3 linked regions of the Oryctolagus cuniculus genome follow. The protein of the gene in region 1 purifies or fractionates together with the protein of each later gene. This does not show direct contact. Links are inferred from orthologs where the notes say so. Each region holds a gene or a part of one and is shown in the gene's direction. Other genes may lie near its edges. The genes, in order: KLC1, KIF5C and KIF5A.

Region 1 (3,641 bases):
ACTGATCGGGAACCAGGAGCCTCCTCTGGGTCTCTTCTGCTGCTTTCCCAGGCCATAGCAGAGAGCCAGATGGGAAGCAGAGCAGCTGGGACTCTAACCGGTGGCGGCCAGCCAGCACTGTAGGCAGCGGCTTTACCCACTACACCACAGCGCTGGCACCAGGCTTAAGTCCTGAGAAGTGACTATTGTGTTTTGTCATTACTGAGTGTTTCCTGAAAATAGCTTGTTTAATAGGATAGAAAGCTGGGAAACAGGTGGATCAGACTCACCTGAGAGGGGTGTGTGCTAGAAAGGGCAGCCCTGCCGGCCGCGAGCAGGGGTCCTGACATCGCAGGTGTCACGGGGTCTGCTTGTCGGGAAGTTGTTCAGTTAGATGCAAATCCCCCAAGTGTGTTTATGGGGATAGAGACTGAAACCGTTATTCTCAGAACTGAAGATGAGCTAGAGTGTGGGTGAAGTCAGCATCGTGGCTATCCAGTTCTCTGCTACCTTTGGTGGTCGCCAGGAGTCAGAGCGGCGAGTGCTTGTGCCGGCAGCTCTGTGGCTGTGCGGGACGTTAGCAAAGTCGGCCGTCAGCTGCACAGCGAGTAACCACAGGCAGATTAGCTGGGCATTGTCTGCAGTTACTTATCAGTGACACTGAGAGATTGGCCACTTAGTTTTGGGCCATAATGGCAAAGAATAGGCAGAGGAAAAATGAGAAGAAGCTCATTATAAAATTGTACAGGTGATTTTCTTTTAATAATTTATTTTATTTATTTGAAAGAGTTACAGAGAGGGAGAAACAGAGAAGGAGAGAGATCTTCCATCCGCTGATTCACTCTGCAATGGCCGCAACAGCCGGGGCTGGGCCAGGCTGAAACCAGAAACCAGGAGCTCCATCCAGGTCTCCATAGCAGGAGCCCCAAGCGTTTGGACCATCTTCTGCTGCTTTCCCAGCTAGCGAAACTGGGTCAGAAGTGGAGTGGTTAGGACTCGAACCAGCATTCATGTGGGATCTGACCTCACAGGTGGTAGCCTAACCCACTGCCACAGCACAGGCCCCTGCACTGAACCTTGAACTTCTGAGTTGAAAGTGCCTCAGCAGCGTGAAGCAGTGGGTTAAAACCGCCCCCTGCAGCGCCAGCGTCCCGCATGCCGCTCCGTGTCCCGGCTGCTCCACTTCTGATCCAGCTCTCTGCCAAGGCTTGGGAAAGCAGCGGAGAATGGCCCAAGCATTTGGGCCCCTGTCACCCATGTTGGAGACCTGGGAGAAGCTCCTGGGGTGTGGTAAGGGCAGCCCGCTGCAGGGGTGAGGGGCAGGTAGGGGGCAGGAGAGGAGTTGGTGAGTGTTTATTCGGCCTTCGATACAGTGTACGCTGCAGTGAGTGGTGCTTCGGCAACAAAGAATAAGCAGGAAAGCTTGGGCAGCTGTAAAGGTGGAGAAGCGGGTGATGTGCTGGTGAGTGACTGTGGAGGCGGGGACCTCCCCTCTGAGGCGCTGAGGAGAGCCCTCAGGGTGAGCAGCTGCGCTGGGAGAGGTGTGGGCCCAGAAGCAGGGAGAGTGGTGGGTAACAGGGTCTTCATCACGTGCAGTTCCCTTGTCTGCAGAGCGCTGCGTCCTGATGGCTCAGGGCTGCCCTGGAGGACTCGAGTCAAACAGGGCAGCCGGCGAAGACGAGCACGGTGTCCCCTCCCCCCAGGGCCTGCAGTGCGGCCTAGCGGGTAAAGCTGCCGCTTACCAAGCTGGCAGCCCAGAGGAGGTAAAGCTGCCGCTTACTATGGCTGCTCCACTTCCACTCCTACTCCCTGCTCATGTGCCTAAGCAGCAGAAGATGGATCAAGTACCTGGGCCTCTGCATGTGCGTGGGAGCCCCGGATGGAGTTCCAGGGTCCTGACTTAGGCCTGCCTGGCCTCGGCTGTCGGAGCCATCTGGGGAGTGAACCAAAGGATGAAGATCTCATTCTCCATGTCTCCCTGTCTCTGTGTAACTCTGTCTTTCAAATAAGTAAATGGACTTTAAAGAATGAAAATGGGAGTTCAAAGGGCTCCGGCGCCGCTCCTCTTACTGGTGTGCCGTGGGAGCCGTTGGAGGTGTGCAGCCTGGAGGTGGCGCGCAGTCGCGTTTCCGCTTTAGAAGGAGCTGTGACAGGAGCGTGCGGAGTGGACGGCTGCAGAGACGCGAGCCTGCGTTTCTGACTGACTGTGTTCATCCCTAGGTTCTGGGCAAGGATCACCCTGATGTTGCCAAGCAGCTGAATAACTTGGCCTTGCTGTGCCAGAACCAGGGCAAGTATGAGGAAGTGGAGTATTACTACCAGAGAGCCCTGGAGATCTACCAGACAAAGCTGGGCCCCGATGACCCCAACGTGGCCAAGACGAAAAATAACCTGGTAGGTGACGGCGGGCCGTGGCGTGGCCTGGGCTGTTCTTGCAGACTCAGAGCAGCCGTAACTCTGCCTGCCCATCGGGGTGTGTGCGTTGCTGCCGTGTGAAGGACACCAAACTCTTTCTTTCACTTCAAGGCTTCCTGCTACCTGAAACAAGGGAAGTTCAAGCAAGCAGAAACACTGTATAAGGAGATCCTCACTCGGGCGCACGAGAGGGAGTTCGGATCTGTAGACGGTAAGACGCTCTCCTGACGTTCACGCTGTGACGTGGTTTGCAGCGTGCAGTTGGTGATAGTGAAGTCCTTAGGACCTTTTCCAGGGTAGAATGCGATCTGGGACCACTGTGTAGCCAAGCGCTGAGTCACCGGGTCGGGCGGCTGCGTGTCCTGTCCCACAAGGAGTCCGTGCTGCCTCTGCTCCTGCCTGCGGCTTCCTGCTCATCGGCCCCGCCAGGCAGTGGTGACGGCTCAGTGACTGAGTCCCTGCCGCCCGTGGGGAGACCTGGGCTGAGCTCTCATCCCCCTGCCCTGGCCTTGCCCTGAGTTCCAGGCCCATGGGGAGGCCACCAATGCCTGCCTCGGGCCGCACTAGTTCACCTGCCTGTGAAGCTCACAGCCGTTTTCTCAGCGCTAATGGCCACTGAAGACTTCAGATACGCCGGCGTGACCGTGCTGCACAATGACGCAGAAACAGGACGGTGGCCTGCCGTTGCCAGCCAGGCCGTGCATGCCACTGTGGAGGCACAGCAGGGGGGTTGGTTTCTTCTTTTCTTTTTAAATATAGTATTCTTTTTTTATTTTTATTTTATTTTTTTATTTGACAGGTAGAGTTATAGACAGAGAGAGACAGAGAGAAAGGTCTTCCTTTCGCTGGTTCACTCCCCAAATGGCCGCTACGGCCGGTGCACCGTGCTGATCCAAAGCCAGGAGCCAGGTGCTTCTTCCTGGTCTCCCATGCGGGTGCAGGGGCCAAGCTCTTGGGCCATCCTCCACTGCCTTCCCAGGCCACAGCAGAGAGCTGGACAGGAGAGGAGCAACTGGAACTAGAACCCAGCACCCATATGGGATGCCAGCACTGCAGGGGGAGGATTAACCAAGTGAGCCACGGCACTGGCCCCTCTTTTTTTTTTTTTTTTAAAGGCCATCATTTTATTTGCAAGAGTTACAGAGAGGTAGGGACAGAGAGAGGTCTTCCATCCGCTGGTTCACTCCCCAATTGGCTGCAGTGCCGGAGCTGTGCTGATCTGAAGCCAGGAACCAGGAGCTTCCTCT
Region 2 (4,268 bases), on another chromosome or scaffold:
CCCGGCAGCTTGGTATTTGTCAGGGTACAAATATCAACACTAGAAGGGGCAGGAGATGGGGCCAAATAAGTTGGCAGAAATCTGACCACGAGAGCCAGGGTGTATCCAGTAAAGAACTTTGGACTTGGTCCAATGTATGCTCTGTTCCTTCTGCAGTGCTCCAAAGAGGCATTACGTAAAGGTGCTGTAACTGAAATGTCCTAAACCTGGGAGTGACAGGCAGTCTTCAGTTGCTGCGAAATTACTGAAATAGCTCGCTAAGGCTGTGGGTGGGAACTGGTGTATTTGTGTTTTGTTTTTTGTTATTGATATGGCCAAAGTACCCAACTTTCATCAGATGTTAAAAGAGTCCCTGACCCCAAATAGGTAGCAAGTCATGAACTGTGCTACCTGTGTACAGGCATTTTCAGGTGTAACTGGCTTCCAAATATCCATGCAGGTTTATCCACTCCACCCCTAACTTTCCTCAAAACTTAAAAAAAAGAGATTTATTTATTTGAAAGCAGAGTTACAGAGAGGCAGAGGAGAGAGAGAGAGAGAGAGAGAGGTTTTCCACCCACTGGTACACTCCCCAGATGGCCCAAACCGCTAGAGCTGCACCGATCCGAAGCCAGGAGCCAGGAGCTTCTTCTGAGTCTCCCACGTGGGTGCAGGGGCCCAAGAACTTGGGCCATCTTTCACTGCTTTCCCAGGCTATAGCAGAGAGCTGGATCAGAAGTAGAGCAACTGGGACTAGAACCGATGCCCATATGGGACCCCGGCACTGCAGGCGGCAGCTTTACCGGCTTCGCCACAGTGCCGGCTCCTCCTCAATACTCTTAAGCACAGAGAAAACCCCTCAAATGTGTCATAGGATGTGATTCTCCTTTGGAATCAGGAAAAGATGTAAAGAGATGGTCCAGACCTGGTTATTTCTAGAGATTTTGAGCTAGAATATTGGATGAGCTCTCCATCCTGTTTTTGGCTTGGGCAGCCCTATCAGGCTTGTAGGCCGTCGGAGATCACTCCGGGGCACTGTCCATGTCCTACCCAAAGCCAATTCCTAGCATCTTGGCCCTTTCACCTGCAAATAAAGTGACTACGTGTCCCGGCATGCGCCGCGCTCCGGGCCGGCGGAGGCGGGGCGGACCGCCGCGGTGACGTCACCGCCCCCGGGCTGGCAGCGGGAGGGCGGGGCGGAGGGGCGGGCCGGGCAAGCGGCGGAGCGCGCTGGTGCTGATGCAGGATGGCTGGGCGCTCTGGAGCCCGGGAGGTCTGAGCCGGGCGAGGCTCGCTCCTTGCGCATCGCCTGGGCGACCCGCCGCGGGGTCGCAGGCAGGTGGGCCGGGGGTGCCGGGCAGGGCAGAGCCAGGTCAGGCGGGTCTGCAGCCGGCGGGGCCGGAGCCCGGGGGGCTGTCCACCGTCCCGGGCTCGGAGCGGCTGGAGCTGCCCGGCCGGCCGAGTTCGCGATGACCTGCTGAGAAGCGCCGCGGGAGGCTGCAGGAGGCGGCCCTGCTGCGGGCGGTACGGTAGCGGCCTCGTCCCTCAGAGCGCCCAGCCGCCCCCCACCCCCACCATCCCCGCGCCCCCTCCCTGCAGCCGGCCGCGATGGCGGATCCAGCCGAATGCAGCATCAAAGTGATGTGCCGGTTCCGGCCCCTCAACGAGGCGGAGATCCTCCGCGGGGACAAATTCATCCCCAAATTCAAAGGCGACGAGACCGTGGTGATCGGGGTAAGTGGCCGAACGTCCGGCCGCCCCTCCTGCTTCGCGCCGCTGGCGCCCCGACGCCCTGGACGGGGCGGAGATGTTCCGCCGCCCCTTCGGACGTCCCCGCTGGCCGCCCTCCCGGGGCAGGACGGAGACCCCTCACCTCGCGCTCCGTGGTTACCCCCTGGGTGGCGGGGCGGGCCCCGGGGGTGGGGGCAGGGGGCGAGGCAGAGCCCGGCGCCGCCATTGTTCGCGAGGTGGGGGCCCAGGTGGGCCCATTGTTCCCCACACTCTCCACGCTGCGTGGATAGTGTGTTCAGGTCACCCCCTAGCAGGAGTGCCTGGCCCCCCATGAGCTATGAGCTCCATGGATGCTTCCAGGCTTCAGTTCGATTTATCAAGCACTTTGCCTCTCTTCTCACGCCCTTAGCAAACAGGGAAGAAGAAAAGGCTTAGGAAGAATCCATGGCTAGGCCCCGGGCTCCCTGCCGTGGGTTTCACCTTGCTCCGCGCTGGTCCGGTGGAGTGCTTGGGCGGGGGCGGGGGGAAGGGCACTGGTGGCTCCCTAGTCCCCAGGAGGCCTGTGTATCTCCTGCTTGCTGTCACCCAGGCTGCCCTGAATGTGAGCCGGGGCTGGCTTTCTGCCGCTTGATCGAGCCCCCCACCTGATGTCCGCAGACCCTGCGGTATGCTTCGCGGGGCGTGGAGAGGAGGCTGCTTTTGCATCTGTACGGCAAGGGGGCACAGATCGCAGCCCTGCAGCCCCTCTGTGCCAAGAGCAGAAGTTACTTTGTGTGGCTAGGGCCCCCTCCCTCTGGGTCTCCAGTCCCCACTTTCCCCCCTCCCCCTCCCCGACTCAGCTCCCTCTCCGCAGCCTGGGCTGCCGGTGGGGGAGGGAGCACCAGTGGGTTTCAGTTCTTAAAGGGCTATGTCCGATGAAGTCCGCCAGCCCTGCCTCCAGTCCGCTGTCCCTAGCGTGTGTGGCTGACGGTGCCCTTTGTATGCAAACCGCGTGGGGAGGGACCCGTTAATGGGAGCCTCCCGGTCCCCGCTGACACGTTCTTGGCAGCCCGCTCCAGGCTGCTCATGCAGCCTTCCCGTCCTCAGCATTGATTAAGTGATGTCATCCCGATCACTGAGCATGCTCCAACCAGCCCCCTTCCCCCCCTCCCATTCTCCCAGTGGCTGGTGTATTTAGGTCAAGTGATTGACAGGTGACAGTTTTCCGAGGGTATCTCCGGAGTCCTCCCGGCCTGCATCCAGCTACAGAAGCCGACACACCAGCATCTATGCCGAGGGTGTCTGCCGCAGTCCCTGTGAAGGGCCCGGGGGACAGCAGGTGCAAGGGGTAGGAAGCTGCTGTGCAAGCCAGAGGAACAGAGGTGAAGCTCTGGCCTCGGGGCTTCATCCTGTACCTCCTTTGCCAAGGCAGCTCCCTTGACGACGCCTTCTCTTCTCCCCATTTTCACAGTCAGGAAACCATGACCTCCAAATGCTGTGTGGATAGGCGTTCATTCTGACTGCTGACCTATGAGGGAGGAAAGAGTGTTTTCTCTCTGCTTGGTGTTAACTTGCAGGGGAGATGTATGGTACAATTATTGATGGGAAGGGAAATTCTACAGTAAATGGCAGCTGTGGGCTAGTGACATTTCTGTGTGCTACTTACTAGTGCCCATGTGGCTTGTTTGGGTTACAGCTCTCTGCCAGGCTCTTCCTGCAGCCTTATCTGGGATTTCTTGAGCCAGGCTATGGGAGTTCCTGGGGACATCGAGTCCCTGCCCCTTGGCTTGTAACAATTTTTTAAAACAAGTAACTGCAGAATTAGGACATGTTCTGGTGACCCTGTTTTTTTCCCAGAGGTTTCAAAGAAGAACTTGAAGAAGTTCTTTTGCCACTTCCTCTCTGAACCCCCTTTCTTCTTCCCATCTTTCTCTTCTCTCACTTCCCCCTTTAACCTCCGCCCCCATCACCAGGACCAATGGAGCGGGTTAATAAATCATCTTCTTTTATATGTGTGCAAAGCAGAGATCCTAATTTCCAAGTAACTTTCTTGAGTATTATAATACTATAAGATGTAATCCCCATCTAAGTATATATATTGTTGACTAAGAAAATTAAAACTAAGCCACCGTATAAAATAAGAATGTGAATATATGCAATACTCTTCAGCTGTAAAGTGGTCTTTCTCATCCTACTGTAATCTTTGAATATAACAGGCAGTTTTCATTGTTAAGGTAAATTTTTATTGAAATAAAATATTCCTATGGAAGAGCATTATATCATAAGTGTCTGGTTTTAGGCGTTCACAACGTAGATGCTCCCTATAACTACCTCACAGACTAAGAAACTTCAGAAGTCCCCATAGTACTCCTTCTGGTCCCTAACTATCTCCTCCCCCCCAACCAAGGGTAGCCATTGTTTTGACTTGGCTCATTTTTCTTTGTTTTACTTTCTACGTGTAAAACTATGCAGTATGGTCTCTCACATACAGTATGGTGTGTTTCTTGTGATGCACATGATGCTTGTCAAATCCAGCCCCATTGTGCCGTATCCCATGATTTGAAAGTACTGCAGTTTGT
Region 3 (3,641 bases), on another chromosome or scaffold:
GTGTAGCAGGTAAAGCCACTGCCTCCAACACCAGCACCTCACATGAGTGCCATTTCAAGTCGTGGCTGCACTACTTCCTGTCTAGCTCCCTGCTATGGTCTGGGAAAGCAGCAGAAGATGGCCCAAGTGCTTGGGCCCCTGCCATCCACCTGGGAAACCAAATGAAGCCATTTGGGAAATGAACCAGTGGATGGTTCTCTCTCTGTGTGTCTCTCCCTCTCTCTCTAATTCTGCCTTTCAAATAAAATAAATAACAACAACAAAAAAATTGGAGGGCTGGCGCCATGGCTTACTTGGTTAATCCTCCACCTGCGGCTCCAGCATCCCATATGGGCACCGGATTCTAGTCCTGGTTGCTCCTCTTCCAGTCCAGCTCTCTGCTGTGGCCTGGGAAGGCAGTGGAGGATGACCCGGGTGCTTGGGCCCCTGTACCCACATGAGAGACTGGGAGGAAGCACCTGGCTCCTGGCTTTGGATCGGCACAGCACGCCGGCCATAGCGGCCATTTAGGGGGGTGAACCAACGGAAGGAAGACCTTTCTCTCTGTCTCGCTCTCACTGTCTAACTCTGCCTGTCAAAAAAAAAAAAAAAAAAAAAATCGGATGGAGGAAGTGGCATTCTGCCTGGGGGCTGGTCACCCCCCAAAACTTAACAGAAGTCTAGGAAGTGCTTTGGGGCTTTTCTGAAAGCTCAGAGTTGGAGTCTGGGTGCTTCTTCATTCTGTTGCTGTGGAGCCTAAAACCCACTCCCTCCAACTTACGCTTTGGGTCGGGGGCTCATCTTCCCCAGCCTGTGGGGCTGTGGGGACAGTCGCCAGCAGGTGCTCTCTCACACGCCCTTCCTCTCCCGTGCAGCTGCTGGTGTCCACTCGAGGGGACAACGAGAAGGTGCAGCGGGAGCTGAGCCACCTGCAGTCAGAGAACGATGCCGCCAAGGAGGAGGTGAAGGAAGTGTTGCAGGCCCTGGAGGAGCTGGCCGTGAACTACGACCAGAAGTCCCAGGAGGTGGAGGAGAAGAGCCAGCAGAACCAGCTGCTGGTGGACGAGCTGTCTCAGAAGGTGGTGAGTGGCCTGCTCGTGGCCCGAGTGCTCCTGGCCTCGGACATCCTCCATGTTCCCCGGGGGGCTGGGCAGTAGGGTGTTGGCACCCATCCTGCCCCTGCACTTTGCCCTTCTGCCCCTTGTATTCCACACCCTTCTGTAGGGCCTGTGTCCTCTCTGTGGCGGCCCTGAGGGTCACGCACGAAGTGATAGGCCTCCGCCTGGGCCAGGGAGGGGAGTGGGAATGGCAGTGGCAGTGACCAGAGGGGCTGTTCCCCAGGCCACGATGCTGTCCCTGGAGTCTGAGTTGCAGCGACTCCAGGAGGTCAGTGGGCACCAGCGCAAACGAATTGCCGAGGTGCTGAATGGGCTGATGAAGGACCTGAGTGAGTTCAGCGTCATCGTGGGCAACGGGGAAATCAAGCTGGTGAGTGGGGAGACCCAGCAGTCCTGGTCAGGCCCTGGTGGGATGTGCAGGGTGGCCCAATCCAGACCCTCGGGGATACTGGGGAGGGGGGTGCAGAGAGCCAGGGGACACACCTTCACACTAGACCCAGAAAACAGCAAGAGGTTTGCACAGACTCAGGCAACAGGACACATTGCGGAGGTACCAAGTGCAGAAGCAATGGAGATGTACGTAGAATTTAGCAGTGGGGGCACAGTGCTGTGGAAGTGAGACACTGTTTCGCCTACCAAAGAAAATCATCATACATGATGAGATGGGAGCGGGGAGTGTGGCCCTTGGTTCTTTCAACGCAGGTGGAGGGATTTAGTGCAAATTGCCAGGAGAGCTGCTGCAGGGGGTTCACCTGTCCACCTGAGTCCCCAAGTGTGTGAGGGGCTGGGCGGAAGGCGGGAGGGATGCCTGGGACCCCCCTGCAGCTGGTCTTCCTCTTCTGCCCGTCCCCAGCCAGTGGAGATCAGCGGGGCCATCGAGGAGGAGTTCACGGTGGCACGGCTCTACATCAGCAAAATCAAATCGGAGGTTAAGTCCGTGGTGAAGCGGTGCCGGCAGCTGGAGAACCTGCAGGTGGAATGTCATCGCAAGATGGAGGTGACTGGGCGCGAGCTGTCGTCCTGCCAGCTCCTCATCTCCCAGGTAAGCGCCTGAGCTGAGAACCCTGGGGAACATGGCTATTGTGCGGTTGTGGATAAAGCTCCCAGCGCCCTCCTGAAGGTCAAGGTCAGCTGAGATCAGGGACAGAGGAGCTGGGGTGCCAGTGGGGAGAATTCAGCCAAACAAAGGCTCTGATCCGAGAGGGTCCAACAGAGTCCCCATAGGAATGACGCCCGACCTGCAGCGTCCTGGAAGGCGTGTGGTGGGGGAGGACTGGGGAGAATGGGAGTTGACAGGTATGCACCAGCTCGGAGTTGTGTCCCCAGCTCCAGCCATCTTCTTTCTCTTCCCACCCCTCTCCTCCCAGCATGAGGCCAAGATCCGCTCGCTTACAGAATACATGCAGAGTGTGGAGCTGAAGAAGCGGCACCTGGAGGAGTCCTACGACTCCCTGAGTGACGAGCTGGCCAAGCTGCAGGCCCAGGGTGAGGCCTTCCTCAACTCCGTCCCACCTGTCCTGGCATCTGAGATCCCCCAGGGAAAGTCCCAGACGTCCCCAAAACACCAGCCTGACAGTCCCCCAGAGCCTTAGCCTGAAACCACGGGTGCAGACTCTTGCTAAGAGCCCAGCCAGGCCTTTGCACGTGGCCCATGCACACGAACCATAAACCCTGGGCCTGCCCAGAACAGCCCATCCCCTGCCCAGCCTGAGCTTTGGTCACCACCTGTGGGTCTATCTGGAGGAGATGGGTTTGGTATGAGCTGTCTTTCTCATAGAAACTGTGCATGAGGTGGCCCTGAAGGACAAGGAGCCAGACACCCAGGATGCGGATGAAGTGAAGGTGAGTGCGGGGCTGGGGCTGGGGCCGGGGCTGGGGCCGGGGCCGAGGGTGGCGCAGGAGCAGAGACTTCATGGGGGTGCCTTGGGAGTCCGGCTTTGAGCCTGGAGTGGGGTTATTTGCAGAAGGCTCTGGAGGTGCAGATGGAGAGTCACCGGGAGGCCCATCACCGGCAGCTGGCCCGGCTCCGGGACGAGATCAATGAGAAGCAAAAGACCATTGATGAACTCAAAGAGTAAGGTTCCCGTGGGTGGCCCCAGTCTCCCCCAGGTCCTCCCGTCCTGCGGGGCGCGCTCAGCTGCCCTTCCGGATCTGGTTCTTCCACTCCCACGTGTCGTTCCGTCCACCGTGACACAGCTTTGCAGCCCAGCTGTATCAGGAGATACAGAAGTATGGACTGCTCCCTCCCCTTGAGGCCTGACTGATTGGCGAGCTCAGGGCTGTTTGCTGTGTCACAGAAGCAGTGGCCTGCATTGATGCATCCATTCCAAGTGGCTTCCCTCCTGCAAGGAGGAGAGTGCTTGAAGAGCTTTCTTCCCTTTCCTGCGCGTGAACCTCTGCTTTTCTCCCCGCGGCCCTCACAGCCTGAATCAGAAGCTGCAGCTGGAGCTGGAGAAGCTGCAGGCCGACTATGAGAAGCTGAAGAGCGAAGAGCACGAGAAGAGCGCCAAGCTGCAGGAGCTGACGTGAGTGATGCTCACCCGC

What was found.
Region 2: the proteins of KLC1 (region 1) and KIF5C purify together in Homo sapiens (co-immunoprecipitation; 4 studies listed by BioGRID and IntAct, counting the BioPlex papers as one, with this or other methods). This does not show direct contact. The link is inferred for Oryctolagus cuniculus from reciprocal best matches to the Homo sapiens genes KLC1 and KIF5C.
Region 3: the proteins of KLC1 (region 1) and KIF5A purify together in Homo sapiens (co-immunoprecipitation; 7 studies listed by BioGRID and IntAct, counting the BioPlex papers as one, with this or other methods). This does not show direct contact. The link is inferred for Oryctolagus cuniculus from reciprocal best matches to the Homo sapiens genes KLC1 and KIF5A.

What each region holds. Positions count from the first base shown.
Region 1 is NC_091451.1:46,448,481-46,452,121, forward strand, and holds part of KLC1 (kinesin light chain 1), read left to right. Parts: intron 1-2,199; coding exon 2,200-2,373; intron 2,374-2,505; coding exon 2,506-2,605; intron 2,606-3,641. UniProt on the Homo sapiens protein: Kinesin is a microtubule-associated force-producing protein that may play a role in organelle transport. The light chain may function in coupling of cargo to the heavy chain or in the modulation of its ATPase activity.
Region 2 is NC_091434.1:93,393,247-93,397,514, reverse strand, and holds the start of KIF5C (kinesin heavy chain), read left to right. Parts: upstream 1-1,373; 5' UTR 1,374-1,587; coding exon 1,588-1,713; intron 1,714-4,268. UniProt on the Homo sapiens protein: Microtubule-associated force-producing protein that may play a role in organelle transport. Has ATPase activity. Involved in synaptic transmission. Mediates dendritic trafficking of mRNAs.
Region 3 is NC_091442.1:60,179,757-60,183,397, forward strand, and holds part of KIF5A (kinesin heavy chain), read left to right. Parts: intron 1-854; coding exon 855-1,061; intron 1,062-1,320; coding exon 1,321-1,467; intron 1,468-1,950; coding exon 1,951-2,139; intron 2,140-2,464; coding exon 2,465-2,582; intron 2,583-2,874; coding exon 2,875-2,939; intron 2,940-3,061; coding exon 3,062-3,171; intron 3,172-3,520; coding exon 3,521-3,622; intron 3,623-3,641. UniProt on the Homo sapiens protein: Microtubule-dependent motor required for slow axonal transport of neurofilament proteins (NFH, NFM and NFL). Can induce formation of neurite-like membrane protrusions in non-neuronal cells in a ZFYVE27-dependent manner.